Oreochromis niloticus: one gene and its partners. The main gene of each other region encodes a partner of the protein of the gene in region 2 in a complex. Links are inferred from orthologs where the notes say so. Each region holds a gene or a part of one and is shown on either strand. Other genes may lie near its edges. The genes, in order: cdk2ap1, mta1 and cdk2ap2.

What was found.
Region 1: mta1 (region 2) and cdk2ap1 share a complex: the UniProt entries of both Homo sapiens proteins name them as parts of the nucleosome remodeling and deacetylase (NuRD) repressor complex. The link is inferred for Oreochromis niloticus from reciprocal best matches to the Homo sapiens genes MTA1 and CDK2AP1.
Region 3: mta1 (region 2) and cdk2ap2 share a complex: the UniProt entries of both Homo sapiens proteins name them as parts of the nucleosome remodeling and deacetylase (NuRD) repressor complex. The link is inferred for Oreochromis niloticus from reciprocal best matches to the Homo sapiens genes MTA1 and CDK2AP2.

The regions. Positions count from the first base shown.
Region 1 is NC_031972.2:11,488,250-11,498,178, reverse strand, and holds the start of cdk2ap1 (cyclin-dependent kinase 2-associated protein 1), read right to left. Parts: upstream 4,258-9,929; 5' UTR 4,130-4,257; coding exon 4,063-4,129; intron 1,057-4,062; coding exon 932-1,056; intron 349-931; coding exon 222-348; intron 136-221; coding exon 68-135; 3' UTR 1-67. Other genes in the region: sbno1 (protein strawberry notch homolog 1), read right to left, coding at 8,324-8,466, 8,712-8,905, 9,161-9,237, 9,330-9,467, 9,745-9,831. UniProt on the Homo sapiens protein: Inhibitor of cyclin-dependent kinase CDK2. Also acts as a component of the histone deacetylase NuRD complex which participates in the remodeling of chromatin.
Region 2 is NC_031983.2:19,121,672-19,132,499, reverse strand, and holds the start of mta1 (metastasis-associated protein MTA1), read left to right. Parts: upstream 1-6,464; 5' UTR 6,465-6,483; intron 6,484-7,109; 5' UTR 7,110-7,200; coding exon 7,201-7,228; intron 7,229-10,828. UniProt on the Homo sapiens protein: Transcriptional coregulator which can act as both a transcriptional corepressor and coactivator. Acts as a component of the histone deacetylase NuRD complex which participates in the remodeling of chromatin.
Region 3 is NC_031971.2:21,308,150-21,317,846, forward strand, and holds the start of cdk2ap2 (cyclin-dependent kinase 2-associated protein 2), read right to left. Parts: upstream 4,162-9,697; 5' UTR 4,014-4,161; intron 3,066-4,013; 5' UTR 2,965-3,065; coding exon 2,910-2,964; intron 2,626-2,909; coding exon 2,534-2,625; intron 1,703-2,533; coding exon 1,582-1,702; intron 91-1,581; coding exon 23-90; 3' UTR 1-22. UniProt on the Homo sapiens protein: Acts as a component of the histone deacetylase NuRD complex which participates in the remodeling of chromatin.

The DNA of each region.
Region 1 (9,929 bases), on a different chromosome or scaffold from region 2:
ACGCCATGCAAGTTATTTTTTCTCCTCATGAAAGGTAGTTCTTGCAGGGAGGAATGGGCGTTTTTAGCTAGGACCTTGCATTCCTCTCAGTCTCAGCCAAGCATTCACGCACCAGCCCCCTGGCATGGATTATTCCTTTGAAGAAGAACAAATACAAATTTAGTCTGAGAAATGTTAATGCTTGCCTGCTGCTTTTGTATTGCTCTGCATATAAAGGTTACCTCTTTTCAGTCGCTCCATTGCACTCTTACTTCCAGCGTATGTGGGTCTGATCTCCTTTCCGAGCTCTTCGATGATGGCCAGCAGCTCTGCATATTTGTTCTGAGGCACTTGGCTGCCAGTAGAGCCCTGAAGTTAAAGCAAAAATCAGTCAGGTTCAATACATTTAAACTGGTTTCTGGTATGCAAAATGGAGCCTCACAGTACAGTTTAATACTTGTGCTTTAACTTCTGACCAAAAATTAGGACCTGTGGAGTCTGGGGTGGAGAGTAGTGTCTAAAATTGACCTTCATGTCCCAACACTACATCAGACACAGAGAGGTATTTCATGTCACTATAAGAGTCCATATAAGCAGCCCTGCTTAAAATCCCCAAGAAATCACCACTTCTTGATTCAGTTGTGCTGCTGCTGTGTAAAAGACCACCACTGGATGGAAACAGGTAAAAACACTGCTTTTCATCATATGGGTGGTTTGACAGACTGTAAATGCAATTTTAATATAAAAATATGACTTATGTTGAAACCTGGACTGTAAAGTTGATATGAATATGAAGTAATTAGGCCAATGTTCTCCAGTTTTGCACAAATAAAACTCAACAAACAACACTCTTGTATCTTCCATGGCAATGAAGGAAATGGAAAAACTGGAAAAGTATGTTTGTTTTGTTTTGCCTTTACGAGCTGGGGTATACAGTGAGATTAGTAGTTACCTGTGAAAATCCCAGAGAAGGAGGTCCGTAGTCACTCAGAAGGGGCCTGTAGGACTGCAGTGTGGCCAGGCTAGCTGCTGAGGGAGACTGAAGGTTTGCAACTGTGGACAATTCAAAAACAACTCCTGTCAAAATCAAAATAGACACACAAATCAAATATATTCAAAAAAATAGAAAACTTTCACAGCTGAGAAACCTCAGCCAACTGCTCAACTTTTAAAGCACTTTAGAGAACCTGTAAGGTTAAAAGGCACTACAAATAGAAACTGTTTGCCATTAAAGAGATTTTTTGTTTATGGAAATTGTATTATCAGAGCAGTAAAGCCGTTTTTTTTCTTATAGTCAGCAGTTTCACAAAGGAAGCATGTTAGGCTCTTCAGTGTTTGTGTTGTGGGAAACAGCAGGGAGGTGATGCTGATGGTGCAGGGCTTGACAGTGCGTATGTTTCACATTACAGTTAAAGAAAAGATGCATACACTGTAAAATGTTTTTAGGAACATGTGTGGGAATGAAATATGCTACAGCATTCACCACAAGCAGCATTTATTCTTCTCACAGGTGTAGTATCTCCTCTCTAACACACACACACACAGAAAACATTAAAAGTACAACGCCGCAAGAAAGTGAGCCCAGGCGGGGGTGAAGTGATTTTCTAGTTTCAACAGCAGCAGTGCTTGTTACTGTCATCACACTCAAAACCTTTTATCAAACCACCCATTCAGTGACCTCAGACATGAAGAAAAGAGATGAGTATGCCAGTGAACTTTGCTTTTCATTGCAGTCATTTCTCTTTCTAGCAGTAATTTCTAATTCCTTTATACTTTTCTTCCAAGAAGACAGACTTTATCATTTTTGAAAGTCATCTTGAACAATACTTCTCTTTGAAGGTTGTTTAAAGTTCAGTCCAGTCGTTGTACCTTATCACCTTCAAAGGAATGTTCTTTTTCTTTGTGAAGCCACCTAACACTGATCTATGAATCACTCAAGCAGCGAAAAAAGGCACAAAACTTAAATTATCAAGGAGTTTTGTTACTACATGACAGAGAACTTAGCAAAGAACCAATTTAAATTCTGTCTTGAGGCACTTTTTTACCAGCAGCCTGCTGCAGAAGTAAACATCTTTGATGACTATGAAAAATGCCAACAATAACACAGTTTGTCAGGTATAATAGAGTATATTTACACCAATATGGAGAACTTAGAGGACAAAAGTGGAGCAAAGGCCTAAAGAGCTATCTTTAGGCCTGGGTTATCTTATCTGAATGTCATGTGTTTAAGAAAAAGGAAAAAAAAAAAAAATCTGTCACAGGAGAGATGCATCTGGCCCTTCAGGTGATCCACCTACTATTCACCAAAGCCTCATCAGAAACAGGCTCAGCTGAAGCGTAGCTGTCAAGAAGCTGTTCTTAAGGAAGGGAAACTGGGGGGAAAAGCTCAAGTATGCCAAGTTACACAAGAACTGGGCTGAAAATCACCAGCAACAGGGAGTTCAAATTTTTAGTTTGTGTACCGAGAAGGTCAGGAGAGCGCTACAGCCATCTATAAAACAGGATGAAAGCTCTGTCATGGTTTGGGGCTGCATTTTAGCCAGTGATGTTGGGGCTCTTGTCAAAATTAATGGACTGTGAACGGAGAAAAGTACCGTCAGATTTTGATCCACTATGCAAACGTTTCATTTTTCACCATGATAATGTTCCCAAACACACTGCCACTGGAGTAGAGCATACCTGGATACAAAAACATTTACTGGAACACAGTCAGTCTGACCCCCCCTTACTCTGAAGCAGTGTTCCTATGTTCCTAGCTCCTATGAGAGTTAAGGCTGTGTTGAAGAACAAAGCTTCGACTTTCGAGATTGTTGGAATTATATAAACTCTCTTTTTGCATTATATACTGTATTCCCGTGTATGTTTGCACATGATTCAATAAATCTCTACATCCATTTCCCATTTTCCTAGCAAAATATAAAGAAATGATAGGTGGTTTAAGACTACAGTACAGTAGATTAATATAAACCTACTAAAAACTTAGTCAGTACTATTAAAGATAAAGCTAATCAGCAGCTTATGAAGCTATAAAAACTACTTAAAAATTGTTATGCTGGACATAGGTGATATCATCTTTGGTATGCCATAGTCTTATGAAAATGGAGATGAAATTTAAGTTTAAACAAAGGATTGACCTTTAGATATATCTGTCATTGTCTGGACCCATTACCTCTGGACTAAAGTAAAGCAAGTAGAAGTAAAATGGGTAAAATGTTGCAAAAGCACTGAAACATCAATATTAACAATCTCATAAGAGAATGTCAGTCAGGGAAAAAAAATCATTTTTTGCACTTTATTCATGTGCTAAAAATAGAAATTATTTCCCTTGTTACTAATAGAATTTTTGAATTACAATTTTACCAAATACCTACAATCTGTACACCACCGTTAGCTTGACTTGGAACGACAATTCCTATTGTTTTTTTCCCTTCTTCTTCTTTCTTTTAATTCTTAACTCTTCCCACTACTTCCATACATTTCTCTATATAACAGATACCTTTACTTTGAGCAGATTGATTTTTTGTATTTTTTATGTTTTGGCTGGTAACATAAAGAAACTGGGGATCTGAACACTTCCATCCACGCACATGCACCTCCATAATCACCGCTCCCCTGTCGCTTTGTTCGCCTGTAATATTCAACCTCCAACACGAGATGTCCTCGAAGAGACATAAAAAAAATTCGAGGCAGATCAATCGGCAGCTCCGACCGAGGAGCATCATGGAGGAAACGGAACAAGGCTGGCTCAAGAAGACATAAGTGATACATTTTTGTCACCGTGTAACGGCACCCACCCGGCGGGACCGCGACCCCGGACGACGGATATCGACACTGTAGGAACCGCCGCCGACTCCTTTCACATCCCCACCGTGTTTCTTCGCCGACTTGTATCGCGGATGGCGCTCTTTTACATTAGTAATAATGGCGGATATGAATTAGCCTAGCTCCCAGGATCTGACCCTATATATATAACTGGACAAAAACTACAGACACGGTCTTTCTCCAGGTATTCTCCGAGACCCCGAATTTAACACTCGATTTAACAGACGGATACTTTGATTTTCTCCGCCGTTTTTTCCTTACCCTGGTTCCCAGAAGTTCCCGGAATGTGCTGATGGACATTGGGTTTGTAAGACATTCCCAAAGACATTGTAAATTAAAGAAATAAAAATGACCCGAAATTCAGTGAAGCGTCTGTCTCTCACTTTTTGTTTACAACAGCGGCACCGGCAAATATGGCCGTCACTTTATATTGACACCCACTGTGCTTTTTAACATTGCTACTATCCACTGCGGATTATCAAGAAAACGGTTAAAAGAAGCACATTTCACCACAAAGCGACCAAATTCGCGCACGCTTTAACACGCATTTTAAGCACATTTGCCAACCTTTATCCCTGAGTTTACTTTAACGACACTTTTAAAAGACTTTTTTAACAAAAAGTGTTTAAACGTGATATGTGTTTAGATGTTTTAAACTTAAATTTTTTACACAACATTATGAAGGAGAAACCAGACTTTTAAAGTAGAATAGGCAACCAGACGTGGATACATGTATTTGAGGTTAAACTTTATACTCACCCAAATTTTTTAATAGATTTTTTTTTTTTTTTTTTTTTGGTTAAGATAAAGTATGAAAGAACACCAGCGTACCTGTCTTTGTCTGAGGGGTCGTATCCATTACTACTGATAGCCGTCTGCTTTTACCTAAAAAGAAAAGTAACTGGAGTTGGAAGCAGGCGCTCTTATTTCGGAGACTTTATCTTCAGTTTTTCAAAAATGTGCTCAGGAGTCATTTCAGTTCTTCATGTCCCATCAGTACTTTTGGCCACATGGTTGGCCACACAAAGGCAAAAGTGTGGTCCAATCGTGGCTCTCAGGGTCATGACCCGGACCCCTGCCCGCTCTGTGCCCCCCCCCCCAAAAGAAGGCGCACGTAACAGGGTGAAAAATGCACTGTTTAGTGTTAAATCATTTCAAAATAAATGTTTCTAATTTTGGTAATTGCAATCTTGGCGCAATGCAAGCAGTGGGAGCTCATTATCAATATCAATAAATTATCAATAAAACAACCATATAAAGCTTGAGGTTTAGAAGACAGCAGTTTTTATAGATTTTTTTTATTATTATTATTTTAGAAAACTTAAATAGTCTGACATTTTAAGGAGCTGGAGAATCGCTCCATAAAAAAATCTTAACGGCCTTTCTGGGAGTATTTCACCATGCTTTTGTTTAATGCACTTTGTATTAACTTATGTGTATGGGAATTATATGTAATGGCATTATATACTTAGTTGCCAGTTTATTAGCAACACCTAAAGTAATAGAGCTATAAATGCTCATATACACCTCACACTTTTAATATGCATGCATAATGCTTTTTTTTCTGCACTTATGAACTACACAGAGCTGTACTTTGAGCATCAAAATAAATGAATAAATAAAGTGAGTAAGCACCTCGCAGCATTCTCACATGCAGTATTTTTACTTTTTATAGGAGTACTTTTAAGAGTGGCATTACTGCCTTTAATAATAAAATACAAAGTGCCTGCATTAAAAACAAAAAACAAACATACCACACTTGTCATCTCAAATTGTTAGTTGCTGTTGTTATTTGATAAACGATTAACTGATGTTTCTGGAAGAATTCAAGTCCAATCATCTGTAACTGTAGTCTATAGAATTCTCCAGATATGCAATGTAATGAAGTAGCTTTTTAGTATTATAACACACAACAATGTAGAAGTATACCAAGCTTTATTGAGCATTGCACTCAGTCATATACAGGTAATTTTGAACTTTTGTACAACTCTTGTCAGTAGTGCAACTCGTGCGATAATGAAAGGAAAAAAAAAATTAAGTCCTTCAAGTGTTTCAACTTCAGATGAGCCAAATCTGCCATGACATTTTGACAGCATTTAAAAAAAAAACAAAAAAAAACTAACAGACAAAAAAAAAAAGTTTCCAAGTCAGCCACCAGCCCAAAAGATAAAATAACATGAGTTGTTGGTCTGTACATGGTGCACATTCAAGTTAAAATGAGACTTCCAATTAGAGAGCAAGCTCTAATGAATAAGTTCTCCCTCCACCATAAAAAAAAAATAAAATAAAATAAAAAAAGGATGCATGAACAATTTCAGTTTGACTCATTTTACAAACTGTACAAATGATACAAAGATTTGTTCTTGTTCCACCTAACAGTAACCACTCCACAGGTTTAGGATTCAAACACATCCTCCGTTTAATTATCACCACTGGGACAGCTCACGTATCCAGACTTTGGTCTGACCCTTCCAGGGCAGGTCGAGCATCACGCAACATATGACTGAGGTGGTACAGGCTCAACAGAAAAAGTGGACTGTACAACAAACAGACCTTAATTACAAGTAAGCTCAAGAAAGCAGAGAAACTGGAGAACCATGTTTGGATGTTTGACACATACGAGCTGTAAATACAGCTAAACACACACAGAGCAACTGTACTGAGCAAAGATGTCCAAGGACCACTGAGTTCTAATCATGCATTTGCGATACACTGTAAAACTCTTGTGTTTTGGGTCTTCATATGAGTTTAACCCCTGAGCAGATTTATATTTACAAAAAAAAAAAATAAATCAAAAATCAAAGTAACAAAAGAAAAAAAAAAAAAAAAACACTGAGAAGGACACAGTGATGCAGACTGCTGTGAAACCTTGAACATACGCACACACGAAAAAGGCTGTTGTCAACAACATGCATTTCACAATTTTTCAGGAACCCTTTATCTTTTTTAAAAACTAACCATTTTTTTGCCATTTTCTCTGTTTTAATAGCAGCCAGCTAAAGACCACGTCAAGAAATAAAACTGCTGTAATGGATTGGAAAGGAGTACAATATTAAATAGTTTTCCCCGACCCCAAACTGTGACCTAAATTTTTCTATTGCCAAAAATTTTTTAAGCATCAAGTAAACATTCAACAACTGATTCACAGCACTGTAATGTAGCTTTAATTATTTAGCACTTTTGTCTACAATATTTCTTCTTGTGAGCATTCAAATGCTGCCACGTCTGAACAAATGATGACACTGAAACAATCATTACAGTTGCCTAATTTATGTGCTTTGTTTCATTTCAGTGCAGTGTGAGTCTATACTGCACTATGCAGTAATTTATGGTCTCTGCATTTTTCTCACCACCTGCCCCTTAAAGCCTCTGATAGTAAAGGGAAACACTGTATAGTAATGTTAAATGCCCTCACATGAGGAGATAAACTCTTAACACCATATGTTTGTAGCTACAATAAAGGCCATAAACCATTTATTAAATGTTTCAATACTTTAATAAAGACTAAATTGTATTTATTATACCCAGTTCGCTTAATATTCATCATCTCTAACATTTTAACACCCCATATATATATGGATAGAAGTCAGAGGATAGCTGATGCAAAAATAACCAAATCATTTCTTTGTAAAGGTGCCCAACTGCTGTAGCTCCAAGTACTCACGCAAAGGCACGTTCACAAACAACTGGCTGATCAAGTTCCAACATGGACAAAAAGGAACAAAATGTTCAAGTTAGACATTAAAACAAACCAAGGAACTTTGAGGAATCTGAGACCTGTGTGAAAAACAGATGAGCAAAAACAGAAATTGGCCTGATTTTAGAAGGAAGTGGAACCTGACAATAAGAATATTTGGTCTTCACCGTCTCATGAGCAAATATGCCAGATACAGTGCCCCCCCAAAAGCAAAAGGTTTCCTGCAGTAAACTGCATCACTTTTTCTACTTCAGAAAAAAACAAAAATTCTTACGCTGCAGTAGTGCTGGGTAATATCTAATATAATGAGTCTCTAGCATACATTAATATGTGATTGTAGTTAAGCACTATATGCCCATCTGAGACTTTCCTCTGACTATGAAAAAAACGTAGATTTTGCTTCATCTACTTTTGGTCCAGACCCACAAAAAGTCTCTGTTTCATACTGAGGTGGTTCTGGGGTAAAACAGGGTAAAGTATCAGTGAGGAGTGGATAACTCAGATCAACATGCTCTCTTAAAGTCACAAATCTTCTCACTCTGAATGTCAGAGGAAAATACATCACCTGTCAAATATCTCCAGGTGAAAGGAAGAGTCTCTGGAGATTACAATTTTTTTTTTTGGGGGGGGGGGGAGTAAGAAAAAGAACATTTCTCTATACAACCACTGCTTTACATCCGAGTGTCACCACAGCTTGGTACCACACCTCTGACCCTCAGGAACAGTGAGGGTTGTGCACAAGGTCCTGGAGCCTGCAGTGTAGAGAGATCCCTTCAGGGAGGGATGTGAACTTAAGGGGTAGAGATGGGGATTAAAGCCCCTAAACTATGTGTGGTGTGTGTGGCTCAGACTCTGAGGGTGAAGCTGCTGCCGCTTCTGCTGCTCCTGCACAGCCAGCTGCTGACACTGGTCCGATGTTGAGAGCTTGTTAATTAACGGAGACACACAGTTCGCCGGAATGATCAGTCCTGCATTAAAAACAACACAGAAATTTTAAAAAAGGTCTGAGAATAAGCTGGGTGTCTACACATCTGAGAGGACCGCAATTAAAAAGGAACTCTTAAGTGTTAGAATACCATGTCACATGTCTGTCTGTTAAATAATAAGGCACAAAACATAAAACCAGGAGTTTCGCTGCGATGCCAACTCTACCAAAAAATGAGACTAGTTTCCAAAATATGAACTTCTTTAGTACAGCAGTCACTTAACTTACCGACTATCCTCTGCCCATCTTCGGTTCTCAGCCGGACAATCTGCACCTTTACATTGGTTCCACTGACCGGGGTGAGCACTTCTTCCAGCTCATTCCAAACACTGAGCACTGATCCACACAAAACGTAGTACCTCCTGCACCGAAGACCAACTTCACACTGCAGACCCACTGACGCCTTCTTGCAGTTACCGCGCCTGACAACAGAAAAACACAAATAGGTTTACAAAAAGAGGACCACAGAGCAATGGAAGCATCAAAGGTTGAAGCTGCTGATGTCCTCTCATTACGTTGTCTTCATGACAAAAGAAGAAAAGTGTTGTTCTAAATACTGGTACCATTTTCACTGCCAAATTAATCTGCATTTGGTGCTCTGAGAAGTAGCATCAACAAATGTGGGATTAGAATACAGTAAGCAAAGTAAGCACCATGCAAATCTGAAGTGCACATACCAATATGCGTGTGAGCAGATTTTTTCTGAAGACTTGTACTGGTCAGTCCAGTGCTGCTTGGCATCTTCTGACAAGACCTAATACAGGGAGAGCAAAACACATATGATTCACCACATAAAATATTCTGTCTTCTTCTTGTCATAATGTAAATGAAAGAGTGCCATCTAACCTTTTTAAATTTCTTCTTGAGGTCTGTGTACGTCTCCAGTTTGACCTGCCGGCCGGTGTTGGGCCTGTACACCAAGAACAGCCTCTTCTTAGTGTTCACCTCTTTGACAAGGATGGCCGTTTTTTTGTTGTTCCTCATCTGAAAATAAACCACAGACATGTACGTCATATGTCACTGCTCTGCATTCACACACACATGTACGGGTTAACTACACTTTATTACGATCTAGAGGCTAACTCACAGAAAGAGGTTCGGCTATTTGAGCCCAAAAAAAAAAAAAAAAAAAAAAAAAAAAAAAAAAAAATCAATAAGGAATGAAACATGATCAATAAGGAATGAACCCCCCAATTCGGACACACAAAAAACCCCCAATGATTTCCATAACATTTATTAAGTGTAGTTAGCACTTCCATACCTGCACATAGAAACCATCATCGGCTCCATTCTGGTCTGCCCAAGCGTGTGTGGCTTCTTCCCAGGACATTCCCCTTTCAACACTTACCTGTGAATGAAGACAAAGTCAGGGGCATGGTTGCTATGACAACACTATAAATGGCATACAAAATAACAAGTCTAAAAGTAAGAAAACACTTTTAAAAA
Region 2 (10,828 bases):
TTCTAAGAGAATCACTCTAAGAGAGTCACACATGGGAAATGTACTGAAAATAAACAGACTGATGACATGAAGAGAATAATTAGCATAAATAACCTTCTTTTAAAAGTTTTACATGCATAGCTTTTCATCTGATGTATTCTTTATAAACTGGAAGTTTAATTTAGCCAAAATCTTATACCGGATGCTCTTCCTGATGCAATCTTCACCACTCCGGCATGAGAAGTACACCGGTTTGTGACCCTCTGTGGAGTTGCACTGCATCTTTGTGCATCTAGAAAAAGACTATGATAGGGCATGAAGTGAGGAACTGGAAGAGGGTCTGGAGAGGTGGAGGTATGTGCTGGAGAAAAGCGCAATGATCAGAGATTGAATACATGTATATGAATGAGAGGGAGGCCAGTGGAAAGGTAAACATGCAAGAAGCAGAGATAGTGAAGACAGATGGGTTTAAATACCTGCAGTCAACCTTTCAAAGCAAAGAACAGTAGACGAGAGAGGTGAAGAAGAGAGTGCGGGCTGGCAGAATGGGTGGAGACGGATGTCAGGGGTTATTTGTGACAGAAGGATATCAATAAGAGCGAAAGGGAAGGTTTGCGAGATGGTAGTGAGATCTGCTATGACTTGGAGAAGGTGGCACTGACAAAAAGACAGGAGGCCGAGCTGGAGGTGGCAGAGCTGAGGATGTTAAGATTTTCATGGGGTGTAATTGAATAGATAAAATCAGAAATAAGAAGGAAAACAAGAGGGACCTCTCAGGAGTGCTTTGGAGACAATGTTAGAGAGGCAAGGCTGAGATGGTTTGGACATTTGAGAGGAGAGATAGTGGATATAAACCAGATAAAAGATGCTAAATAAGGAGCTGTCAGGCAGGAAGAAAACAGGAGAACCACAGAGAAGATTCATGAATGTAGTCACTGAGAATATGCAAAGTGTTGGTGTGTCAGAAGAGGATGCTAGGGACAGGTTGAGATGGAGTAAGATGATCTGCTGTGTTGTTAAAGTGTAACAGTATAGTGATCAATAACCCTCTGATTAGTGGCATTACAGTGGTAACTGTGCTGTGTGAGCTTCATTCATTAAGCTTCAGTCAGCAGAGGAGTCATTCGTTACAGGCACAAACTGACAGTTGGACACCTGTTTCAATCATGTAATCTGCACTTATTGATAGAAACACCACAGCAATAGTTTGACATGGTGAGAACGTGTTTTTGTGCTTTCTTGCAGACTTTTGAATGAGAAAATCAATTGAGCCTGATGTTTGTACACTAAATATACAGCTACTGCCAGCAGATAATTAGCTGAGATTAGCATAAAGCCAGGAAGCAGGGGAAAATATAAAAACACAAAAAATGAACAAAAAACAAAACACACAGGCACATTTTGCACAGTCAAATACAGTGTGGTAGACATTATTATCGCTTTGATCTGAGCCATGCTTGCTGTTTTCACTTAGTTCAAGTCTATAGGTTAACATGGTCTGCTAAGCTAATCATCTGTTGACTCTAGCTTTACATAAAGATGCATAAAGTTTATTTTCTTGTTCTTCTCTGTGCAGAAAGTTCACTGCATGCACTTCCTGTTCTCAAACAACTATTTGGGCATGTTTTTAAAGACTAATATTTAGTTTCTTGGTCACGAAAACAATCATTGGGTTATTGTTTTTCCATGATAAGCTCTTTCGTGTTGTTGTGAACACACAAAAGGCAGAAATCTTTGAAATGGGTGAAATCTCCCAGAGCAGCCATCTATCCCTTCCTTTCTTTCATCTCCCAGTTTGCTCACAAACAAAACAGGCCTACCAAAGAGTCACTGTGACAAGATCTTGCCTGCTTAACCCTCCCCAGCCCATATTTACAACAAGAACTTCAGCACTTGAAAATGTTCTTTACCTCAGTATTTAACAAAGCCTGCCTGTTTCCTCCACATGAGCACAGACATTTCAGATGGAGTTCTCTTGCCAAGTCAAACTAACTGGTCACATCCAGTCAAAAAAAAGTTTTGTTCCACTCGATGTAAAGAGACCTTGCTGTGTACTTTTGTGGTGTATAATTAGACCCTCTCGACATGGGTGGTGCTGCAATGGAAAACAAAACATGATGTACCAGGTCCCACCCTGATTTTAGGTATTCCATGGAGCCTTAAGAGACATGCTTAGATATTTGTCTCACAAGGTGCAGTCAATGTACATAATTCATATATCTTGTGTTTAATGGATTTTCACATCAATCATCCTAGACATTATAAAGCCACATATATTATCTGCAAACTGCTAACCATAACTTAGCCAATTAGTACTGTTTATATACTAATATTTTATGTGAGGTAAATTGAATGTTACAATGAAACATCCCAGACACATGAATAAATAGTTAACAAGTATTTTACCCAGCAGCAAAGCTGTTTCTTCAATATGACTGCCTTGACCTGCTAAGTGTATTATCACTTTAGGCACCTAGGTTTGTCCATGGCCAGCGTCAGCATCCTGGACAGGCCCCTCTGGCTCAGGCTCATCCAAAAAGCTACTATCACCCCTCAGCTGAATTCCAACACGATTTAAAAATAAGACCTATGATTTGGTAATAAAAATGTTAAAACACTCACATTACACTGTAATAACAATCATGTTAATTTTTCAGTTAATAGTAACATACTGTAACATGTCTGCACAAACTCTTTCCAACTAAAAACGGCTATCATTAGTTTATAAGGCTGTCTTTAATGCATGAAAGTGCAATCTCACTTGAAACTTGCAAAATATATTCGCTATGAACATACTGGACATTTATGGTTATTATAAATGCATATTGGTTCATGATGTCATTTTAGACAGGTTGTTTAATCTTGAATTTGTCATGTAGGATGCTAAGGTAGTATCACTGCCCATTATGTCCGTCTACTCTGGCACTGACCATGGCTTTATTATTATGTGCCCGTGGTTTTTCCTGTCATTTGTTTGATGATTTATGTGATATATATACATATATATATATGCATCTCAAGTTGCTGAGCAAGTGCTTGCCATTCCAGTCACTCATTTTTCTTCTTCTGTCTAACTGTTGTGGGTTTTTCCCCACATGGCACAGTCACCAAATGCCAGAGCCTCTCTGAAGATTGAGACATTTTTAGCAGTTCAACCAGCTGTTTCTCACAGAAAAAAAGGAAAAAGCAGTTGCACTTGTCTGGCAGCTTCTGGCATTTTGGCAAATGGTCCTGTGGTTAAGGGTGTACACTCAGTGACGGGATTGTCTTGCAAGGTGGGGTTCAGAATATGCAAGGGGATAACTTTTGGAGTGCCACATATTTCCATGTGTGAGACAGTCTCACAGTAACACCCTATTCGTAAGGGTCAGTATCAATAACCCACAACTGCAATATTCTTAATCCCTCTGGATTAGGGCAAAGCATTCTTGGGAGGCTGAGTGTTTCATTCAAAGCTGTGTGACAGATGACAGACTGAGTTATGTCTTCCGATAGAAACACCCACACTCAGAAAAGGCACAATAGCTAATATTGATTTAATGGCAACATTTGATAATATTATACTTCTGATCTACAGCTCTGTGTTGCAGCTTTAGATGCAAATAGCTGGCATCAACTCAAAAATCACAACTCACTTAAGTGTCGTTTTCGCCGTTAGCGATGGCCACATCGCGGTTCTTTTTTCTTCCCACAGCATGACTGCTTTTCAGGGAGCAAATGGGGACAATAGAAATAGCTGTGCGCATGATGTCCCCTGCTGGCAGACTATGTTTAGTGCAACTTGGAGCATTTTTTTTTCAGTGAGTATTGGAAAGATCAGGCATTGTTAATGAATGGTTTCAGAGCTCAATTTTATGTTTAGTATGAGCTAAAGATAATGGATAACATTATGTCTGAGTGTGCATGGTTTTAAGGCAGGCAAGCCTTTGTCTTAAGTGGTCATTTTTATAAAAAGCTAGACAATAGCTCCCCCTAATGGTGACTGAAAATAAATACAAACTCCTATTTTAAGTGTTTTCTTTTACTCGCAATAAGTCAGTGCTGTCTCCTCCCACAGCTCTCAGAGGACTGAGAACATGGCTTCATAGACTAAAAAATTAAAAAAAATGAATATTGTCTTTAATATCAACAGCAGTGGTGGTGAATGTGTTTTAGATGGATGTACAGAGCAGTCTCCATACAAGAATCTAGGCATCTATGATATTGTACAGTAGCTCACTGCATTATTATCGGTAATATTTATCCTGCTTTATATACTTATACATGTGTCTTATAGCTATAGCATGACTCACAGCAGAAGGTCACTGGCACTAACCTTCTGAGAAGGGAATATATTCAAGCATCCTCTAGAGAGCAGAGTTACAGACTGTTCCAAAGTATAGGTAATTCACTTTTAATAAGGAATACACCCATACAAAGTCAGGTGTGGAAGAGCGAGAGCCCTAACATTATTCCCTTTATTCCTGCACCACCCATAGTGTCTCTTGATCCAAGTATAGGTTCCAGAAAGAGAATTAAAAATATTTCAAATAGTTTCTGCAAGGATAGAGGTCTAATTGATTTCCTCTGTGTCTTTGACTCTCCCGTGATTCATCTGCTGCATGGAGGAGCAGAGGAAAGAAAGAGGATGAGGGAGGAAGAGAAGTAGGAAGAGAGAAAGAGAGGCCATCAGAGGTCTTCTTCCAAAGCGAAAGGAGGTTCTGCAGACGCTCTGCGTCCCGAGCCAATCCATCTCCACAGACTGAGATTCATCAGGATGAACACCTGCACTGCACTGCTCTGTACAGAGCTCTGCCTGCATGCTTGTCTTCCCGAATGCAGCAACATCTGGCAGAGGAGCAAGTGTATTAAAAAAAAGAACATCTGCACAGCATCAAGCAGCCAAGTAAACAAACAGCCCTAATGAAAGTGGTAACAGTTCCCAAATACAAGGGTGCATTGTCAACCACCTATTTTCCTTTAATTAAGAGCATATTAAGCACTGGCAATGTTTTCTTTTGAGCCTATTGGGGAAAATTACAACAGCTCAAAAGACTTCTCACGTGTGTCTCCATATGCTTAACAAATAACACATAATGTACAGGGATATGCTGGATTATGCTTTACACTTGAAATATTCCACAAGATAGCAATATAATATGCACAAAAATAAGCATTTATGCAGAAATGCACTGTTTGTTGCACACAGCAGTGCATACTTAAAAATAAATGTACAGTATAGTGATGGTCTTTCATCAGTGAGCATGCAACTATACTACAAATCAAAATACTGTGCAGTGTACCATGCACTGGCATTGAAAAACATCGCAAATTCAATGTAATTAAATTTGAATGACATAGTGTAGACGTAAATCCTTGTACACACCCATACATAAACACACACATGCACAAAAAACACACAAAGTGCACACTCCTTGTCTCTCGTTCCTTTTCATAAAAGAGCCCCGGGACATAATACAGAATCCCTCCAATGCAGCACAGTTCCTACTGCACACTTGAGTAGGAGTGCATACTATAAGCACACATGATTGGCCTATAACAGTCATGTGACTGCAGACTGTGGTCCCCTGTGTTAGGTCACAGTATTTGACGCTTCCATATGGTATAGATCAGACGTAGCCTTCACCACGCATTCCTCTGTCACAGAGGCCTTATGCTATCCACAAAAAAGTGAGCCAATCAAACAAATATCTGGTCATTCAGGATCACGCCTTGTAGATACCTTTCCATTAAAGACTGGTTGCCATGTAAAAAAAAAGCTATGCTCATGTGAGTTTTTTTAAGCATTCTGTGGTTTGATTGGCAATTTATTGTGCCATGTCCAAGGTGATATGGTACTATATGGTTTGTTTGTGGTAAGATTGAAAGAATAATATAAACACACTCACACACACACTACTGATAAGAACAGAAACACTGCTGCTAGTCCATGTTGCAGAACCAACATCCTATTTTAATGGCAGATTATTATCTTGTTCTCTTACCCACATGCACATAGAGTTGTACTGTGGACTAACCATGTCATTGTAATAAGCTTAATAATCCTAAATCTCCATAGTATTTCCAGAATCCAGAATATATCTCATATTATCATACCATAATTCATTGCATGTTTCTGCCTTCACTGCGTGCTGTGGTTATAATGTAGTCCTATACAGTGAGACAAAAATGAGCTATGCTATCTTATAAATAAACCACCATTGTAGTATACGATCCTAACTTTAATACACCTTATCAGATTGGAAGAATTTGCATATGTCTTCCTTTCTTTTGTTAATAAAATTAGGTATTTAAGGACAAATGTGTCTGACCCTGTGTCTTTCTAATGTACATGAATTAAATTTAACATACTTTGTTATTTTTACATTTAAGCCCATGTATCCCTCCCCTGCTGGTCCACTGACCTCTGACCCTCACTGACACTGTGAGCATTGAGGGATTTAGGATCACAGCACTGGTTTATTTTTAGGGCTGATGCATTTTTACACAGCTATACAGTTCCAGGTAAATGGCTTATTTTAAAACCAGCTCTGGAACCTGTCCACATTTCATGAGTCATCCAATGTGGGAGTTTATACAGTCCGAAGTAGGCCTGGTAGGCCCTGGAAGTTTTTTTTACATCGAGCTCTTACTTAAAGACTTGCTTTCCACCGTAAATTATCGCGATACGTGTCGATTAGTTGATTGGAGAGCTGTATAATTATCATAAATAAATAAAAACTTTAAGCTAGTATCCAAGTTTCATGTCTTAACAATAAAGACAGGTCTATTTTCAAGAAATTTACCCTTTCGTTTATAATCTAAATTGGCAAGTAAAAGATAAATGAACTACTTATGTAAGGTTAACCGAGTAGCAAAGTTAATAGGATAACGGTTCCTTTCGGACAGCGCGTGCTTGGTTGCTAATAGTGACGTAGGTACAGTTTAAAAAGGCAAATATTTATTTATTTATTTTTTAAATTTTATATTAAGTTAAAGAAAGTTGTTTAATTAAATCGTTAATTTGTTACAGTGCTTATTCCCATTTACCAGCGCCAAAGTTGTGGGTTAAAAGAAAAAAGGCGTACTGTCTCTTTAAGGCAGCCAGCCAGTCTCTTTCGTATTGATCAATCCACCATTTTCCAACACAGAGCGGCGGCAGTGCTAACACAGCTCCGGCAGCGCGAGAGAGAAGAGAGCCACCCCTCTACCTGGAGAGGAAGCCAGGGACCGGGGGCAGTCATGGCAGCGAACATGTACCGGGTTGGAGGTAAGGTGGAGGGGGCAGTATTTTAAGACCTTCCCGTAATTTTTTATGGCGGACTCGCCATGATTAACGTCGGTTCTTTTATGTATTTACAGCGCGTGGTCCGTCTTTTGCTTCCCTTCTTTTATTTCCCTAAAGCTAAAGAGCCTTGTGCTTCACAGATGATGATGATGGTGACTGTGAAGAGGAGGATGGTGATGAAGAGTAGTGGTTCTCTTTACAAAACTGCTCCCCGGATTTCCTCGCTTCTTTTTGCGTTTTTCTTCCAACTTAGCAAACAAGTACTTTAGTGCAACGATGCACTCTGAGTAACATGCATTGCGCTTCTATATATTTTGATGTAAAGTAGCGGATATATTCTAAAAGTTTTGCGTGCCATTCAGCTACAGCCCGGACTGTACGCTCACAGCCATAAGTAACATCGTAAGTGCTTTAAGTGTCCTGCAGAAACCTCTCAATGCTCACAAGACAGCAGCAAGGAGTGCATGCTCTTAAAATGCAGGGAAGGAGTGGGACAAAAAGTTAAAGACAACACTTTACATGCAGGAACCACTAAAATTCTCAAAGCATGCGTAGAGATCCGTTTTACACATTTATAACCAGTGTCTCTTCGCTTCTTTTGTGCAGGCAATTCAACTTAATACCTAATTAAAATTCCTGATTTCCCCTCCCACTCATTTTTTCCCTGCATATGTTCCCCTGATTTACATCCCGTAGGTACTGTGTGAAAATGAAAACACGAAAACCACTATAGCTGCACTGTATTTTAAATAGAATGTGCTGTTTTTTGAGGGGGTTTGCAGTGGAGATGCATAAAAGAATGGAGACCTTTTTAGATGTGTCTTCAAAAAACTTCAAATTTAGCTGTCAAAAAGTGTCACCACACAGAGGTTTGATATGAGGGCTGTAATGCAGATGGCAGTCGTAAGCATTTGCAGGACAGTTTCTTTATTCTTTCTTTATTCATCCACTTTTAGTGTCTTTTTGGACTCTGTGGCCATTTGTCAGTAGAAAAGGGAGGGAAAGCAAACTGATTATATTTTTAAGATTATTAAGAACTGATGTCTTTTGAAATATGACTGATGTGATTGCAGTTGGCTTGGAGCATGCATCAAAAATAGCCTATGCTTAAGTTAATGGCATTGTTATTTAGTCAAATGAAACAAAGCCTACCTGAGTGAGAGCTGGATTATGTTGGAGCAGGGTAAAAAGTTAACACTTTACCAGCCAGATGTTACTTAGTTTTGTATTTCTGTTTACGCTGTCAGTCTCTTACACTGACATACCAACCAGTTAAGCATGTATGTCTTGTTTGTAGCACACTAATTTGCAGTAAAAAAGGTTGTTTTATTTATTTCATATCTACCTTGCAGCTTTAAGGTTGTGTAGTTTGACTAATTTGTGAGATCTAATCAATCAGAATGGATTAAACATTTAATGCTCAGTCATCAAAGCAAAGTTGATTACTTTTTTGGAAAAGTGAAAAAGTAACAAGTAAGCTCAACCTTCATAATTTAATTTAAAACTACAAAACATAATTTAATAAGCATAGTCTTAATTTGTCCTACAATCACAGTTCTAGTTTAAAAAAATAAAATCACAGTTCTAGTTTGGCCTAAAAATAGGCCTCATAATTGACTGAAGCTTCTCCAGGCCAACACCAGAACAAAGCAGAAGCCCACACAAAGATGGCTGCTTCTTTGCAAGACAATGCAGGATCATCTTGGAAAAGCAATGAGTCCCCTTGAATGAGCAGTGGACAAAAGACAAAAGGTCTTGATGTCTTTGTTTTCACCATCCAGGCCACAAGCCACTCTTCCGGTGCCTGCAGCACTTCTTCCTAGTGCTTTCCCTCATGTGCAGGAAAGTGTTGGTGACTAAGTGTAGGCTATACGATAACTTTTAACCATTTCAGCGGTTGGAAGACGTTTTTATGAATGCAGTGAAATTTTAAAAAGCCTCTAAGACTTGCTGACGACTTGTTTTCCCCAAGTGAAAACAATTCTTTCCTGAGATGTTCTAAATTTGGTTGTCAAGACGTATAGAAAGTTTACTACAATTTTTGCTAGTGGGTACTCAGACCTACCATTGAAAAAGAGGACAGGCTTTTAAAACTGTGGAGCTTTGATTTTGTAGTTAATATTACAGGAAGTTGCTGGTTGGTGTTAAGCCAGGTTCAGTTTTTGGCCAGGTGATCCCCTGTTTGTTTCCTTTAAAATGAATTTCTACAACAGGCTTCTGAATGTGGACCTACTGTGATAGAGATGTTCCAAAATATAGTAAAAGATGCCCTGTTTGTATTTTCTCAAACTGTGTTGCTCTGGTCAAAATATATTTCTACCTAGAATGAGGATTGTGGGTTTTATTCCCCCATCACCTGCATCGGAACTGCAGTATGAGGCCATATCCGAGGATGTTATGATCACGAGGAATGATTACAGGATGCAAACACTTCTTCGGTTGTCATATGGGTAGGGGTGTTATTTAAAGAAATAATTGGAAAATACAGGATCCATCCTTTAAATAAGAACTTGCATTGGAATGTTTGGATTGTGACAGCTCTTGCACAGAGTTTGCAAAATGTGTTGCATTGTTTACTAACTTAAAAAGTGAGAAACTTGGGTGTTAATGCCCACATTTCCTTTGGATGGTGAGGATTTTCTACAGTAATTATTCAGAATGTGCCTGAAGGTGTTGCACTGTTTACTAATCTACAAACTGACTAAATTACAAACTTTGACAGTGCCCACACTTTGTTTGGCTCATGGCTGGTGTTAATCTCCCACGCTGGCAGTTGTGTCTCTTGCAGGGTCTGGTGGGTGTACTCGCTGAGTGGCGAGCTGAGGCTTCTTTGCTTCAATCCTGCCAAGTTCAGGACAACTAGTTGGACAGATGCATGACAACCTTTTTACATCCATTCAGCAAAGTATCCCCATCATTGTGTTTCTGAGGGGGGTCAAACTGCCCGAATGCCCATCACAATAACCGCTGTTTGCTAGCTTCCTAGTGTTGCCTATGGGCTTAAAGGTCTGGTTGTCTAAACTTCACTAGAATGAATGTTTGAGAAAAGAGTGGAAAAATTTGCTGATTTATCGCGTTTGTTAAGTGCAAGCTGCAGTGCCTGCTGCAGTATGATTGCAAGGTGTCATGGGAGTTGTGATCTAATTATTATAAGATCAAATCCATCTCAGCCTTAACACCACTGCTGACTTTATGCGAAACTGCTTTTTAAACATTTTTTATTCCTCGGTGTATTATAATATGTCAGAAAAGTGAGCGGGACGGGATATGAAAGACATATTTTTGTCTATTTCCTGCTTTTGCCAGGAATCCTAGCAGATACTAGCAGGCCAGGTAGATTGTATAGACTGTACAGAGGTGTATGCATCTGTGCATACAGCTGATCATACCTTAAGTGATTGTGAGTGATATCAAAGTGTGAAAATGAGGTGCGAGTTTGACTTTAGGATATTAAATTAGCTTCTATTACCATAGAAATCTTCATCCATACTATGGCAGTCTGTAATCTCGTCTGCGGTTGCCGCTTCTGACAACAGACACACCTCTCCGTGTGACTGCATGAGTAAGCATCGGATGGGGTGT
Region 3 (9,697 bases), on a different chromosome or scaffold from region 2:
GTGGAGGGATTTGTCCAAAAGGTTATGTGCGGGCGCTTCTCTCCGTCTCTGCAAGACACTCCCTGACCAGTGCACGGGCATGGATTATACCTGTATGACACAAACACAAGGCAAGTTTTGTTTTGTTTTTTTATAAAGGAAAAAAAAAAAAAAAAAAAAAGACTACCTCAAATACAACAACCCCAACAGTCATTACTGCCAAATCAGAGGTCTCTCATTAACCAAGAAAACTGAGTTGATTAAGCTCATAAAAGTAGGTCAAAAATGACCTGCTAATGTTGTTTTCTTACCTACCCAATTAATGAAATGTTGTCGTCATTTCATATTCCAGCTATTTCTCAAAAACACTTTTTGGCTACCATGCCATTTAAATTTTTAACTTTCCTTTTGTACATTTAATAAAATTCTAGTTTTTGTGTTTTTACCCCAAACTTCCTGCATTTGTTTCCTATGGAATTTCCCTTGATTCTTACAAAGTGTGACTGTCAGGAATATATTTTTTGTTGACCACAAAGAGTGCTACCACTTAGGAAGATTATTTTACACAGCAAGAACTAACACACAGTGTTCAGACAACAATCTATCCCCAGTGACTGTGTCACTGTAGACGAACGCTTGTGCCATTCAGGGGAAGGTTCAGATTTCTACGATACAATCCAAACAAGCCCGTCGAGTATGGCCTAAAGATCTCCTTGGTTTGTGATGCACAAATCTGGACACAACAAAATGGTGGATGAAAATACCAGAGAAGGGAAAAAAAGCACAACTGATCCTGTTCTACAATAACACCAAAGGAGGTATAAATACTGTGGATACACAAGACTTCTGGAATGACGCCTTCTGGACACACAAGAGATATTCTGGGTAATGCACAGCACCGCACAAATCAAACACAGCATATCAGCACAAACATCTGTCTCGAACTATCAAACAGAGTGGTGGAGGTACAGAACAAATCCCTGCAAACTTCAACGAACTGAAGCAGCTTTGTAAAGAAAAGTGGGATCATTACTCCAAAGATATGAAACTCAGTCATACAGAAAATGAGAACTTATTTTTAGTTATTGCTGCTAAATGTACACAAGCTACCAAATCATAGAGTCTACTTATATTTTCACAGGACTGCACAGTCATGTGACAAACCTTGTCTTTTAAATGCATGTATGCAACTCAGTTTCACTAAATTCTTCACTGTGCCCCACACTTTGAGAAATGTGTCTTAATGGATAACTGACTGTGATTAGTTATTCCAGCTTTCATGGGGGGCTTTACCTGGCAACTTTCTTATAAATGTGGATATTGGGCTTTAAGTCTTCAGCTGGAGTCGGAGACAATTTTTTTATATAAAAGGATAATAACAGAGCACTGTTACTGCAGCAAGTAAATAACCATTTTCAGAATAAGCTGTGTGAAATCCACATGCACCAAAGAGCTAAGAAAAGTGAAAAGTTCACCAGTCTTCCTCTGATTTGCATAATAGATGCATTAAAAAAAAACTTTCCCCCCCCCAAAAAAACGCAACAACAACAACAACAATGATCTGAATCCTACTGATATGCACTTTTGACTACTAAAACATACCTCTCTTTAGCCTCTCCATAGCGCTCTTGCTCCCTGCGTATGTGGGCCTGATCTCACGGCTCATCTCCTCAATGACAGACAGGAGCTCACTGTAGGTGGACCCTTGGGACACTTTCACAGGCTGTTTGGGAAAGTAGTAAAAAACGTTAGTCATTTCACAGTTCCACATACACGCCAGACATGAATGAAAAATGTAGATTTTTTTTCTTTTTAAGAATGAGATGAAAAATATGTCAGTTTGTTTTTTACAGCAGATGTAACGATGATGAAGTAATTATAACACTGCAATGATGTAGTATTGTAGTGTTTAAGTATTCACTGCCTCATCTAACAATAATGTAAATGTCCCCATGTCCTCTCAGAACTCTTTTGAAATCAAGTTCCTTTCAGTGGTTTCAATTTATGCTAATGAAACATGCTTCAGTCAAACAGTAACCACCTTCCACTGCCAACAATATTTACTGTACTTAATCAATATAGCACTAATAACTAGTGCAGAAAGGCACATTTTTTTCTACGACCTTATAGTGACTTTACTGATAGACATTTCTATAGTATCTTCTTGTATGTTGTTGTAACGCTTTAACTTAACTTACTTAAACTTAACTGTTTAACTCCTAATGCTTCTCTTTTTGCTGGATGTATGGGAACAAAAACAAACTTCTGTGCAGCTTCAAATAAAGGAAAATGACCTTTTATCACACCTTTTAGAAATAATTCAGCAATAGCAAAGAGGTGAATTTAATCAACCCCAGGCTGGGACATGAGTGTGAAAAGTATGTGAATACACAAGTTTTTTTTTTAGTTTATTTACTCAGTTAAGGGCTAGTATTGACATAAGCAGAGTGGTTGAAAATCCATGTTTGGTGACCTATGCTTCAGTAAAAATATGACAACTCTTTACTAAAGCAGTCTGTATTCAAGTATCAGAGCAATTAAATTGTTGTTGTACCTGAACAAAGCCCATGGAGGGCGGGCCAAAGTCACTGAAGGCTGGCCTGAAGTTGGACGACGATGGAAGAGATGGAGAGGGCACAGAAGACCCTGGCCAGAGGAAGAGAAGAGAAGAGAGAGAACACATTAAAGGCTGAACCTAAAACACAAGCAATTTTGTTTCAAATGTAAAATATTAAAAAATAGTTTACCAATACAATTGTGCTGTATTGTTAATGACTGATAAAATATTGTGTGGGGCAGCACTGGTTTATGAAGGCAATGGGACTGTTGACCATAGTCACAGTGTGAACTGTTTCATACATACACACCACAAGAAACTGACAACATGCTAATAACGGCACTGCACAACATTAAAGCTGGTCCTAAAGTACCTGGTGGAGTGTGGTTGGAGCCAGATGGTGCAGGAGCAATGGGTTTGTAACTCATGGCGATTTCAGCAGGCAGCTCCCCGTACGACGTGCCGCTTCCTTCGGTCCCGTCAACCCGATACTTATACAGCTTTACAGGTGATGATGAGCTCCTAAGAGCTAATGCATAAAGATAGACAGAAACACAAATGCAATTCAATCCATGAATAGAAGGAAGCAAAGGAAGTTGTGAATCACAATAATCAGGAATCACCATCAACAACAGTCGGTGAGGAAATCAGCACAATAGACCTTTATTTAACAGCAGTAGCAAGACTTGTCGGCCTGGATGTGTTTGGGAGCAACGCAAACATTTTTAATGTAAAACTGGAGCACGTTTGCCTTAGGTCACACATTACACAACAAAATGTATGACCTGTCAGTGGAAACGTTTCTCATTCAGGTTGCTTTTGCAGCAGAGAGATGAGAAAACCGACAGGAAACCAAGGTCCTCACTGCGGACATTTTATATTCTGTGCTTGCACTGTATGGGAAAGTACATTAAATCTTCCTATTCAGTCAGAAAACAACAAGTGCCATTAAAAACATACCCATGCTCGTGATAACCACATGGGCCCTCTCAGGTCATCTAAGAGTCCGCTGGACTCTAATTTAACAATTTGCAGCAAAAACATCGTAATTACAATACAAGTTCCCTAATCTGTCAATGGTACTCTGACTGGAGAGAACCATAGCTTAATATCAGACTACACTGAATGTGTCAACCTGTGAAATGTACTTGTTTTGTGTTTTACGCCGACTCTAATGAAGCTTTTCATAGGCTGGGTGTGTGTGAATGTGGTCACTCAAAGTCGCACGAGCGGAGCTCAGAGGTGCTCAATGAAACAAAAGCTGACGTTAGCATTTACATAAAGCTGCCAAGCTAACTACTACTTGGTTAGCCGGATTAGCTAGCTTTTGCCGGTTACCACAAAAACATAAGTAAACCCCAACCAAACAGGCCTGCCGTTTACATTCTAATACAGACAGTGAATATTAATAGCGTTAAACTAAACTTGTGACCACCGATGACACCCGAAACGATACAAAAAAGTGGCAATTTTGTACCTTTTTAAGGAGACGTGAAATCCTCTGTGGGACGCGAGCTCCGACTCTTCCTCAGTGACTGAGTCTGCGCAGACGAGGTAGTGGGCTGTTGGTTTTTTTAATCTTTACAGCGATTTGATTGGTCGGTTTACATGTGACATATGTCCTAAATGTTTTCATCACCAGAAACTACTACCGCGCCAAACCCGCGTCATACGTAGCGAAAATGAAAATACGAACGCTGAAACAAATGGAAGATATAGTTATATATAAATACATTACGATATTTAGGAGAGAAATTCTTTCCCATTTACATAATAATTAAAAAGTCTGGAAGAACTTTTAGACTTTGAAACATTGCTGAATAGTTAATATGAAATGGGAACATTTTACTCCTTGATGTACCTTCGTTTTTCTATTTTCACTCCCATATTTTATATTTGAATATATAATTGCTTAACTTGATTGAATGCTTTACTCATGATACAATTTTGTTCCCATTGATAGATTAATACATAGCTAATGTTTTTCTTACAATTACAAAATACAATTCATGCCAGGGCATCATATTTCAGATAGATAGATAATCAAGGCTGAGAAGGTCTGGACATGTGCAGAGCAGGAATAAAGGATATACTGGACAAAGGATGTTGAAGGAGAAAAAGGGAACGATCAGAGGGTTGATGTGACAGAGAAGAATGCAAGGGACAGGGTGAGATGGAGCCAGTTGAGCCGCAGCAGTGACCCCTTAAGGGGAGCAGCCAAAGAAGAAGAATAGGATCACAAAAGATGTCATTTTTGAAGTGCTTCAGCATGTTTTCCTGTAGTAAAGTACCAACATTCGAGTTTAAATAAACTGAGCTGAGCTTATGATAACTGTATGATGTTAAGTTTTGATGTTGATGATGTTAAGTCCTAATATGCTGTAATAGTTCTCAGATAAACTCAGTGGAATAAAAAAAAAGATACAAATATTCCCTCTGAAATATGGGAGTTGGAGCATGAAGTCAGAATACTAAGGTAAACTACAAGGACCTTAAAAGAGGTATAATAATTCATCAGGTTATTTATTTAATTTACATTACCTGAGGTGGTGGAACTATTTGAGTTTAGCATACAGATTTGGCCTCATCTGCTACAAAAGAGTGAACAGACAACTATGATTTTGTGGAGATGCACTGTCATCATGCCCCTGCTGTAACATTTTGACCCTCTGAAGTACTGGAACCAAACACTGCAGCACAGTGCTCTTGCTCTTGACGAAGGCGGTCGCACTTTTCTCCTCTCCTCCTCCTCCTCTCCCTTAGCTTCCCTGCTTAGCCTCTTGTGTCCTTGTCTAGTCTCGTGTTTTTTGTATTACTTTTCCCTAGAACACTCTCTCATAGTCTGTTCTCTAAAACCTAAAAGAGAATTATGGATTTGATCAACTGGTCTCTGAATGCAATTGACACCCCTTTCTCAACGAGAAGTTTGGGCTTGGGTGAGCCTGAGTGCTGAAGATAGCTACCTATTCGGAACCATCTCGGCAGATATCTACCTATTCGGAACCATGGTAACAGGGTTCTGGCTGATTGGAGCTGGCTTGTCCCTGACTTACCGGAGAACTAAGGAAGCGGAACCGGCTGTTCAAACAGCAAGGCCGCCCGCTGGGATTGAAACGATGGGAAGAGGCGTGAGTTTCTCAAAATGGGCTCATTGAGTGCAGCATGGATAAGATCTTAGAAAGGCTTACGGCTGCCGTGAATACTCAGAATAAGATCTCTGAGTGCAGACTGGATTACATCTCGGAAGGGCTCGCTCGGCACAACATCTCTGAGCGTAAATTGGATGACATCTCGGGGAGGCACACTGTCGTGAGTTCTCAGAATCGGCTCTTTGGGCACAAGAATGACAACATCACAGAGCGCAAGTATGGCGAAGCTCGCGGCTCTCCAACGGGAGATTGAGAGACCAGTGTTGGACTGTAGAACTGCTTGGAAATTCATATGAGCTGTTCGCACTAAAGTAAAAAGCACCATCACTCATACAGATACCCCTTCGGCGCCAGCTGCGGTTGCAAGGCTGGAGCTGAACAACAACACCCTGATAACGACTGTGTTTTGACTGTTCTTCCCTTTCTATGCAAGGCCACCTGGGTTGGCTGGAAGACTGTTTACTTAGCCTGGCAGGGCGAAGGACACTGTCTCAGCTGAACTCTGGACATACACACACACACACACAGACATATATACACATGCAGACATACACTCATCCCCCCTCCAAACGCCTTCGACGCTTATTCCCTTCCGATGCTGACGGTGGATCAAGGAGACCAGCGCATAGGCTGCAGGCCCGGATGTACTGTCTACACTGGCTGTCTCTCACCCTTTACCCACCCCTGTTGCTTGTCATGTGTTTCTTTGGTGTATTAAGAGTTTTTTTCATGTGCTATGTGCAGAGGTGTTTTTTTTCTGTTCTCAAACTGATCTCCCTGTTGGAGCTCAGTCTGGGGGGAGTTATTTTTTTCTCCTTATCTTTCCTCATGTGGTGCATTTTCCATTGTTATACCTCTCTGACCTGTCTTCCCCATGTGATGTTTGTGTAATGTATGTATGGTCGGAGGGTAAGATGGTGCCGCCATTGCGTGCAATAGGTCGGCAGGCTTATGAAATTTCCCCTTGTGGGACTAATAAAGGCATATCATATCATATCATATCACAAAAAAACCCATTTGCACTTCTGTATCATTACATTTTGGCACAGGTGGGAGATGTAATTATGGATGGAAAAGAGATCACTTTAACCTGCTCCAAATAACTCACCTATCATCTTAATTGCTGTTTTGACAATGCACTTATTTGCAGTGTGAAAATGATTTTTGCTAATTTGCAGCAAGGCTTTACTGTCTGCATGTAATGACAGACATTACTTTAGTATCCTTACAAAAATTTGCACACTGTGTAAATTGTAAAAAGAAAACACAAAATAATTATTTGCTAATTAGTAACATTTTGAATGTATCCGAAAACACAAAGTACCAAGACAACATTGCAAATGTTGAAACCTTGTATTTTCTTGCTTTTTGAAAAAGATTTTTTAATTTAATGGCACCAACACCTTTCCAGAAGGCTGGGAGCATTGTGTTGCATTGCGCTGCATCTCATCTTTTTTTTAACAACGCTGTAACCCTTTCAGAACTGAAAGGATCAATTACTGTTATTTTGAAAAGAAAGAGAATTGTTTTTCCATTCTTGCTTGATACGCAGTACTGTTCAGCTTCTGAGCAGCGCCTCTGTGACATATTTTTCAAATCATAGGTGTTTTGCTGAAACACGCAACACCAATAAAAAAATGCTGTCTAGATTGCAGTATATCTGGGTGCAAACTCTTAAGGCTACATATACAGGAATATGAAAAAGAAAGTGTCTAAAATACTTTATCCAGTCCTGTTAAAAACTAAGTACACATTTACTTCTTTCCATAGGAAGTAAGTGCATAAGTAGCAGCTAGGTGCCGATAATCAAATTCACTTGATTAATTGATCATCAACAAGTATGACCAGCTCTGTCAAAGCAGAAGTTTGGGCAGTTTGATGACAACAATGTCAGTCATATTTATCATATTTATTTGTTCCCATTGGTCACTTTGGATTGATGCCTGTGACAGAAGTCTCTTCCTGTCTAATGAGGGTTCTTCCTCCTTAATATCGCCGCCTTTCTACTGCTTAGAGGGGATCATCTAATCCTAGGGCGGGCAATACATTTTCCCAAGTGGCCACATGTGAACGTCGAACTGTTGTGAAGGGCTGCACCAATAAGCTGAAGTTAATTCAGCTCGCTATTAAATTTATCTCTTTGTAAGCTTATCGGAGTTGCCCTCCACAACAGTCCCAGGAAATATTGATTGGCCACCAATGATCTGTAGAGTTCTGTCTTATACGGTGGGTCTTTAACTTGCTATTTCATGCATTTTAATGAGACTTCCTCTGTGAAGTGGAACTGTGGAAATAAAAACTAAATTTTAATTTAAATCTTTGTTAAACTAATTGTGTTAGATTTATAGGCCTCATCAGGACTCACGATTTCTGTGTTTAATAATTATTTATTTAATATATTATTTAAGATGGTCCTTTCTTGGCTATCAGCAAAGACAGTTACTATGAAAAAACATTCTCACTGTTGTGTTGTCTCTCATGTACATTTCAATTGTAATATGACGTTTATAATTCTTTTTCTTTATGACGCATCTGTTTTTTTTCATGCTTTCTAAGGTTATAGATCACATATTTGCTTTAGACACCAAGGTCTGAGTAACCCTCATCACTCAGGCCACTCACATACAGACTCTATTCAGATCAAGGCTTTTCTTTGCACTACCTCCAAGCACTTTGGTCTCCATTGTGTGCCTTTCTATTGTTTTGTATATATTCCTCCAGACTGTATTCGTCTCTTCTGATTGCTATTTATTCCTGATGTCTTTAGTATTAATATATACCGTATATATATATTTTTTTACTCCTGCGCAGTTGGCACGGAGCACCCATAACGTCATTGTTGATGTACAATGACAATAAAGGGCTATTCTATCGTATCCTATTCTATTCTATTCTATTCTATTCTATTCTATTCTATTCTATTCTATTCTATTTCATTTCATTCTTGTTTTTCCCAATAGTAGTTCAGATCAAAGTTTTTCAAGTTTTGCTATCTAGTATATTGCCAGGAGACATTTCATCAAACTTTTCTTACATTAATTAAAAATCGGTATTTGTCCAGCCCTTAGGCACAGGTCTATTTCTATTAAAAATAGTATGTCTCAGAACTATAGTATTTCAAATTTCAGTGTTCCTGGTGTACCTTCACAACAAGCACCAGCTTGTACTATAACAAAAATGAATTATTTCTTAAAAGTTATTATTAAATAAAAATAGCAGAATAAGGTAACAGAAAGCCAGACGGTAAGTACAGAATGAAGGAAGGGTCAGTCCATCTCAAATCAATGTGGGCCTCATACCCGACTATCACCAATTTACCTAAAACATTTTATGGTTCAAAGTTTGGACTTGATTGCTATGAATTTCACTTTCATAGATCCTTACTATCGTTTCTAAACTTCTTAATTTTTCAAGTTTTATTTATTTATTTTTTAATGGTCCACTGAGCCACTTCCAGCTTGTTTTTCACACTTTGAAACCTACATAGACAAAGAGACATAGAAGAACGTAAACCAGACTAAAACCTAACTAAGACAACCTAATAATTATACCAGAATTTAACATTATCACATTAACTTAAGAATAATACACAACTTTAACATTATTTTAACATAAGAAATCTATAATACAACATAAACTCAAAATGCTGGGGCACAGACCCAGACCCTGACGTTATCTCAAGAGGGGAACCGGTGTTGAGCACACGTAACAGACCTCAAAATTACTGAAACATTGTGGGGATCATCTTGACAGAGAAAAGAACAAAAGGCAGCCAACATCCTGAGAAGAGCTTTGAATGTCTTTCAAGAAGCCTGGAGAACTATTCCTGAAGACTACTTAAAGACATTGTGAGAAAGCTTGCCTAAGAGAGTTCAGTCTGTGTTAGAGATTAAAGATGTTCATACTAAATATTGATTTTCAAGCTTGGTAGAATCATAAAAACAATTTCTTTTAACATTTGTTCCATTTATGTTTGGACCTGTGGCCATAAATCACTGCAATCAATACCATA